2 linked regions of the Neurospora crassa OR74A genome follow. Each later gene encodes a partner of the first gene's protein in a complex. Links are inferred from orthologs where the notes say so. Each region holds a gene or a part of one and is shown in the gene's direction. Other genes may lie near its edges.

Region 1 (3,857 bases):
CCTTTGACTGCAAATCTTAAGGATTAGGTTCGATTCCTACGTAATCCTTTAGGGTTAGCCTATAGCCAATTTTTTTGAGGCTAGCTTAATTTTTTTTAGCCGTCCCCCCGCCCTGCAGTACTGCAGGGGGGGGAAGCTAAAAAAAATAAGCGCCAGCCCAAAAAAAAATGAAGCAAGCTGCCCGCAAATTTAATAAATTTACTAACTATCTTAATGAAAAAAAAAAAATAATTCTATAAGGGGAGTAATTATCTGTATTTAGGGCTTAAATAATATGGGGGTAGTACATAATAATAATATTTAAGCACTAAAACATATATTTGTTTTTGTTTTTAAAAATATATGATAAAAAGACGCCTCGCGGCTCGATTTATTATTTGTATGTAAAATAAATTTAGGTTTAGTTTAGTTTGGAGGCGAGCTTCGCTAGCCCCTAAAATATACAAACTAAATCTTCTCTTGTAGGCTACAAAGGAATATAAGATACTAAGTAGTATCTTAACTGATGTTGTAGAAAAGGCGGAGTGATTCTGAGGCAAGCTTCGCCCGCCTTAACAAAATATGTATTATGAAGAAATAAACCGGTAAAGAAATATTTCTTTTTTTTTTTATATACACTACCTACATATTTTGGAGGCGAGCTTCGCTTAATTTTTTTAGCCGTCCCCCCGCCCTGCAGTACTGCAGGGGGGGAAGCTAAAAAATAATTGCCTCCCAAAATATTTTTAATATTTTGGTTAAATAATAAGATAAGTCTTCATTTTCTCGCGTAGCGGAGGCTCTCCTAACAAACCCCCCGCAAGCTTGCGGGGGTTTAGAAGTGGGAGCAAAATGAATTATAATAATAACTTGTGCGCTCCTCCAAAGGCGCTCATCCACTCTTCACAATCCCCCTTCCCCCCCCTGCAGTACTGCAGGGCGGGGGGACGGGGGGATATGTGGATAAGGGTAGCGAGAAAAGTTAATTTACTACATGAGGCTAATGGAATATTGGATAGCTGACTTAATATAGCAAGGCACTTCGTTGGTTCTAATACTGATTTAGCCGTGATTCCGCCTTTTTTTTTTTTTTTTTTTTTTTTAAAAAAAAAAAAAAAAAGAAAGTCCACAAAACATTGAAAGGCTAGTGTGTTTTTTAGTAAGTCAGTCAATCACCTACGTAGGTGATCCAGAATTACGTTACCGGGGATATTCTGTTGGTCGGTTTACAGAATATCCTGGTTAGCATTGATTGTATAATCAATAAGATGTTGTAATCTTATTTTATTTTTATTTATAAGATACGTAACCATTATAATAAAAACCATTATATTATTTAATCAATTAAATAGTGAGGAGTTTGGGCTCTCTTTAAATTCAAGTAAAAGAAGTGTCGGGTTAATGTCGTCAATTTCGATTTGAACTGAAAGATGATTTTTATCAACGAATGCTAAAGATATAGGAGTTCTTTATCTAATCTTTGCGCTATTTTCTGGGTTACTTGGAACAGCATTTTCTGTTTTAATAAGAATGGAGTTAAGCGGACCTGGGGTGCAGTACATTGCAGATAATCAATTATACAATGCTATAATAACTGCACATGCGATCTTAATGATTTTCTTTATGGTTATGCCAGCATTAATAGGTGGATTTGGTAATTTCTTGTTACCATTATTAGTAGGGGGTCCTGACATGGCATTCCCAAGACTTAATAATATTAGTTTCTGACTGTTACCACCAAGTTTACTATTATTAGTATTCTCTGCATGTATAGAAGGTGGAGCAGGTACAGGATGAACAATTTATCCTCCTTTATCAGGTGTACAAAGTCATAGTGGACCTAGTGTAGATTTGGCTATCTTTGCCCTACATTTATCAGGAGTTAGTTCCTTATTAGGGTCTATTAATTTCATAACTACAATAGTAAATATGAGAACACCAGGAATTAGATTGCACAAATTAGCTTTATTTGGATGAGCTGTAGTTATTACAGCTGTATTATTATTACTATCTCTCCCCGTGTTGGCCGGTGCAATTACTATGCTATTAACAGATAGAAATTTTAATACATCATTCTTTGAAACAGCTGGTGGTGGTGATCCTATTTTATTCCAACATCTTTTCTGATTCTTCGGGCATCCTGAGGTTTACATTTTAATTATACCTGGTTTTGGTATAATAAGTACAACAATATCAGCTTATTCTAATAAATCAGTATTCGGTTATATTGGTATGGTCTACGCCATGATGTCTATTGGAATATTAGGATTTATTGTTTGAAGTCATCATATGTATACAGTTGGTTTAGACGTGGATACAAGAGCGTATTTCACAGCAGCTACATTAATTATTGCAGTTCCTACAGGAATTAAAATATTCTCATGATTAGCTACATGTTATGGAGGTTCTATTAGATTAACTCCTTCTATGTTATTTGCTTTAGGTTTTGTATTTATGTTCACAATTGGGGGATTAAGTGGAGTTGTTTTAGCGAATGCATCTTTAGATATAGCATTCCACGATACTTATTACGTAGTTGCTCATTTTCACTATGTATTAAGTATGGGTGCTGTATTTGCAATGTTTAGCGGATGATATCACTGAGTACCTAAAATATTAGGTTTAAATTATAATATGGTGTTATCTAAAGCTCAATTCTGACTTTTATTCATAGGGGTTAATTTAACATTCTTCCCTCAACATTTCTTAGGTTTACAAGGTATGCCAAGAAGAATAAGTGATTACCCTGACGCATTTTCAGGTTGAAATTTAATAAGTAGTTTTGGGTCAATCGTAAGTGTAGTAGCTTCTTGATTATTCTTATATATTGTGTATATACAACTAGTTCAAGGAGAATACGCAGGTAGATATCCATGATCAATCCCACAATTCTATACTGATAGTTTACGTGCTCTTTTAAATAGAAGTTATCCTAGTTTAGAATGATCTATAAGTAGCCCACCTAAACCTCATTCATTCGTGAGTCTTCCATTACAATCTTCATCATTTTTTTTATCATTTTTTAGATTATCATCATATGGGGAACAAAAAGAAATCAGTGGGAGGCAAAATTAATTTTCTTGAACTTTTAACTTTCATCCAATTTTTAACTCATAAACTAACTTTAACACCACCAAAACCTCACCTTTTTGTGACCTCAAATTTACAAGCATCTATTTGGAACTGACCTTCTAAATCTCGTATTACTGAAATATCTAAAGCCATCTGAATGAATATGATTAAGAAGTTTAAAATATTTATTTTTTTTGCTCTACCTACTATGTTAATAGTTAAAGGTATATATATTTGTTATGATCAGGAGATATGAACTCTGGTATTTTTTACTCAAAATTTGGTAAAAAATTTCCCTTTTTTTGGCTTAAGATTATTTAATATGATTTGAGTAGAGTCCAATTTAGGAGTAGAAGCGTCCAATTTAGGAGTAGAAGCTCCTAAAGCTTCTTCAATATTTTTAGATCTTCATCTTTGAACCTTGATGTACCTATTTGGTAGTTTAGCTAGAATTTTTGGAGAACTATATTATAGTGATTTTGAATTACCTGCGGGTGTAGGTGGTGAGTCTTGTGAAAAAAAAACACCATCTCCACGTGGACCTTTAACTTTATATAAAAAAGGTTCAGACTCAGGTGCATCAGGAGGTTCAGATTCACCTCCATCTGCAAAAGGAAATTCAGGTGCAAGCTCAGGTCCTAATCAAGACCGATTAGCACCAGAAACAGATTCAGAGGATGAAACAACACAAACAGATCAAGGTCCTAGATCCCGAGGTTATCGTAAAACAAGAACACGCTCAATGGTGCGTAGGCGTTGAATACGAGATAAACCAGACTGAGTAGAAGGTTTATGAACAAGGTCTT
Region 2 (3,589 bases), on another chromosome or scaffold:
GGCGAATGGCTGGTCGTCCGGGCAGGCAACGTGCAGTGCTTTCAAGGTTGAGACGCGTCCACAAACACTGGGAGACGCGCCGTCGGAGAAAATGTGGTCTGTGCGCTACTTAGCTGTGTTTAATGATTTCCAATTGCCTCCGCGTCATTGCTTGCATGCACTGGACCGGGGTTAAACAGACAGTGCACATGGCATCCGGGCGGGCGGCGGAATGGAGCTGTGCAGATTATGCTACACTACAGTACAGTACTGCCCTGTACAGCACCGTTGTTGCCGTTTACAGGGACGGACCCAACGAAACGCTGAAGTGTTCTCGAACTGAGTGAAGGTCCAGATCGAATATACTATCGAAGCTGATATTCAATCCGGTCAACTGAGTGGCGATCATCAGCCAAGACATAAAAAAATCAACAACAGCAACAAAAAGTCAAGATGCTCAACGGCAAAAAGATCATCACCATTGGTTTGGTAGTAACCTTTGGCATCGTGAATGGTCCGGGCTCTTTGGTTGCATGTGCTTGTGATTGGAAGAATAAAGTCTGACGTCTCTGCAGGATACTACACATTTGCCCCCAGTCTCCGGGCGGAGAAGGAGAAGCGTGAAGGCCTAAACCTTGGGTGAGAAGATGAGCTTGAAACAATCAAGTGCGGTTAAGACTGGATAGACTAACATGACACCAGTCCCCCGGCCAAGCCCTCTCCATATGAGATTAGGAAGCAAGAGTGGGAGAAAAGAGAATGAGATGTAGGATGCTAGCATGGAGTAGAGTAACAACTAGGTATCGTGATCATACCATCGACCAAGGCATGAGTTATATATATATATTTGGAGGGATATGTCGGTGCATAGCTGTCCCTCTTTTTGTTTTCTCGAAACTCATGACAGCAATTCGTTTGAAACGAAGCATCCAAGGCTTCATTTTCGTTCTGCCGCGTTTACTGTACTCATTGCGGATAACATGACATGAAATATCTCTCTGCAAGGCTTTAATCTGTCTAAAGACCCTGTCGTGTCTCCCACTCCGGACAAGCAAACAATAAACTTTGTGAGACAGTGACGTCTGGCATGTGAGTTCCGTTTTTCAGCTGCCAGAGAATCGAATCGTCGTCATCCAAAAGTCAACAATGAACAATGGACACTCCAGTCAGCCCAAGGACAAAACGTCCATGGTGTGGAAACTGAAGGCGGTCCGTGCCAGCTGTCAAGAGTGTGGAATTGCCAGGTGAGGGGCTCCGTTTCTGAGCGCCAGACACGCAAAAGCTGCCCGTTCACCACTTGCCAGGCGGCCCTGGTCAGCCTGCCGTGAGTTGGCTCCCGGGAAGATACGGGGCCCCAAGCTAGGTAAACTGTGACAGCGAGTCTCATAGCGCTCTGGTTTGGGGGTGTTTTCACTGGCGGGCACTGCGTTCGGGGTGAGCAAAGTGGGCATCAGGCCATCCCAGGCATTCCTCGAGTTCCGAGCTGAGGCCGCATCCCCGTTTCGCCTACCTGCGAATCCCGTTCGCCCAAAAAAAAGCTCGTCCTTTGCATGACTTCACTCCTCGCACAAAATCACCGTCGACGATCGAGCTCCAGGCCTCCGACCACGCACGCGGGCGACTCAATTGGATCCATCTCCACCCCCGACTTCGAATCCTCCTCAACTTCCTAATCTCTGTCAGCCGACAATCCGCCGCCACCATGCTTCGCACTCCTACCGTCTCGGCCCTCGTGCGCAACGTCGCCGTTCGCGCCGCCAAGCCCACCATGGCCGTCCGCGCCGCTTCCACCATGCCCATCTCCAACCCCACGCTTGCCAACATTGAGAAGAGATGGGAGCAGATGCCCATGCAGGAGCAGGCCGAGCTCTGGATGGCTCTCCGCGACCGCATGAAGGGCAACTGGGCCGACCTTACCCTCCAGGAGAAGAAGGCTGGTAAGTGAGAAGTGGAAGGTTGAAGGTTGGCGAAATGCCGGGTGGAGCTCGACCGTCCAAGCTCCGAGCTAGTTGCATCACCAACGCCCGCCTTGAAGCTCCCCCCCGTCACCCTCACTCTGCGACAACCCCGAGCTTCAAACAAGCTTCACGAGCTCCCGGACAGCTTTGGGATCGTTGGGCGGAAATGGATCTTGTCGGCCTAGAGGTTATCGGTTGATTGATGGGTTGTTGGGGGACGCTGGGAGAAGGCTGAGGGAGTAATGGTGCGCTACATTGGAGGAGAAGAGGAGGGAAGCTCCGACGACAAACCGCACCATGACAGCCATCAAGGTCGTCTCAAGAGACACGCAGGCCCAGACCACAGAAAGACTGACATGTACTCTCTCTCAACGCAGCCTACTACATCGCCTTCGGTCCCCACGGCCCCCGCGCTCTCCCCCCTCCCGGCGAGCAGAAGAAGGTCTTGGCCTACACTGTCGCCGGTGTCTTCCTCTCTTTCGTCATCTTCGCTACCATGCGCGCCTTCGCCAAGCCCCCTCCTGCCACCATGACCAAGGAGTGGCAAGAGGCTACCAACGAGTTCCTCAAGGTGCGTCGGCTCATATCGGCTCTTTGTTGGCAACCAGATCAACTAACACATATATCACCAACAAACAGGCCCAGAAGTCCGACCCCCTCACTGGTCTCACCTCCGAAGGCTACAACGGCAAGGGCCACGTTCAGTCTCCCTCTGCCAGCGCATAAGTTTCGCATACTTTTATTGGTGCTCAGGGGTAGACTCATCCTTCGTTCTCTCGGATATCGGCCATGTCAAACGAGTCTGTGAGGATCGGGGGAAAGGACAGTGGTGGCATTGGAATGCTTTGGGGCGCTTAACACTTGGGTTGGTGTGTAAATACTGTACAGCTGACAATGCATTATCATTTCCTTTAGCCGGCGCGTTCGTTTTGTTGTCCGGTGTAAATGGGGGTCATGGGGGTTTAGGGAGATATGGAACTTGGTAGAGAAGAGTGAGCGGATGGGGATAGCTAGATTCGGGCAGTGAGGCCAAGCTCCTGGATATCAAGATGAAACGAGGTATTTGAGGATTTTGAGGGAGTAGCATCGTCACACGCGGAAAGAAGCTTCCGAGCTTTTAAGGCGCCTAGCACCTTTTCAGGATGACGTCTCTTGATCCCTGCTAGGTGTTTCGCTGCTAGTAAGAAATGACACTGTTTGTTTGTTTGTTTGTTTGTTTACTTGACATGGCCGAAAAAGGGGTAAGCTACCCTGCTCCCAGCACCCAGCCGTATCTCACTCGGTAGCCCGTACTTCGGATAAGAGTTACGGGCGATGATTTCACATCCGGGCCTTCGGGACGAGAACGCCACTCATAGTCCTGCCTCATCCAGATGCTCTTTCTTCGTCCTGATGTTTTTGCCTGCTGCGGCTGTCCCCTCGTGACCAACCGTCATCCATGAAGTTGCTGGATTGATTTCAGACTGCGTGCGGGGCTCCATCCCTCGGCGGGCTCTTCCTCCTGGCAGACATCCCATTCAATTCGTCTTTCCAGTGCTTCACCAGTTCACCTTGCTCCTCTACCTGCTTTCTGTTCATTCCTCCTTTTGTATGCCAGTCTTCATCATGCCTCGGATGTGTTTGATGCGCTACACAACAGCCGATCTTGCGGT

Evidence for each region.
Region 2: the proteins of NCU16016 (region 1) and cya-4 are in contact, whole or in part, in a cryo-EM structure (PDB 8Q1B), measured with the Schizosaccharomyces pombe proteins. The link is inferred for Neurospora crassa OR74A from reciprocal best matches to the Schizosaccharomyces pombe genes cox1 and cox5. Residues at the interface, in YP_011104928.1 of Schizosaccharomyces pombe: Met44, Ser47, Ala48, Pro49, Ser51, Gln52, Phe53, Trp340, Ser341, Arg342, Glu414, Thr415, Ser418, Ile419, Trp422, Ile423, Ile426, Ala453, Val455, Gly456, Phe459, Ser462, Ile463, Val466, Ile467, Leu470, Ile496, Pro497, Ser498, Tyr499; in NP_588158.2 of Schizosaccharomyces pombe: Tyr71, Ile92, Ala93, Phe94, Gly95, His97, Pro99, Arg100, Phe102, Ser103, Ile105, Gln107, Thr109, Val110, Gly113, Thr114, Gly117, Leu118, Ile120, Gly121, Leu124, Phe125, Ile128, Arg129, Gln131, Ala132, Ala133, Pro136, Thr138, Met139.

What each region holds. Positions count from the first base shown.
Region 1 is NC_026614.1:37,888-41,744, forward strand, and holds NCU16016 (cytochrome c oxidase subunit 1), read left to right. Parts: upstream 1-1,380; coding exon 1,381-3,054; downstream 3,055-3,857. Other genes in the region: NCU16017 (hypothetical protein), read left to right, coding at 3,017-3,857.
Region 2 is NC_026502.1:1,656,249-1,659,837, reverse strand, and holds cya-4 (cytochrome c oxidase subunit IV), read left to right. Parts: upstream 1-1,540; 5' UTR 1,541-1,681; coding exon 1,682-1,916; intron 1,917-2,314; coding exon 2,315-2,508; intron 2,509-2,576; coding exon 2,577-2,663; 3' UTR 2,664-2,852; downstream 2,853-3,589. Other genes in the region: NCU16537 (hypothetical protein), read left to right, coding at 433-493, 555-618, 682-742. UniProt on the Schizosaccharomyces pombe protein: Component of the cytochrome c oxidase, the last enzyme in the mitochondrial electron transport chain which drives oxidative phosphorylation.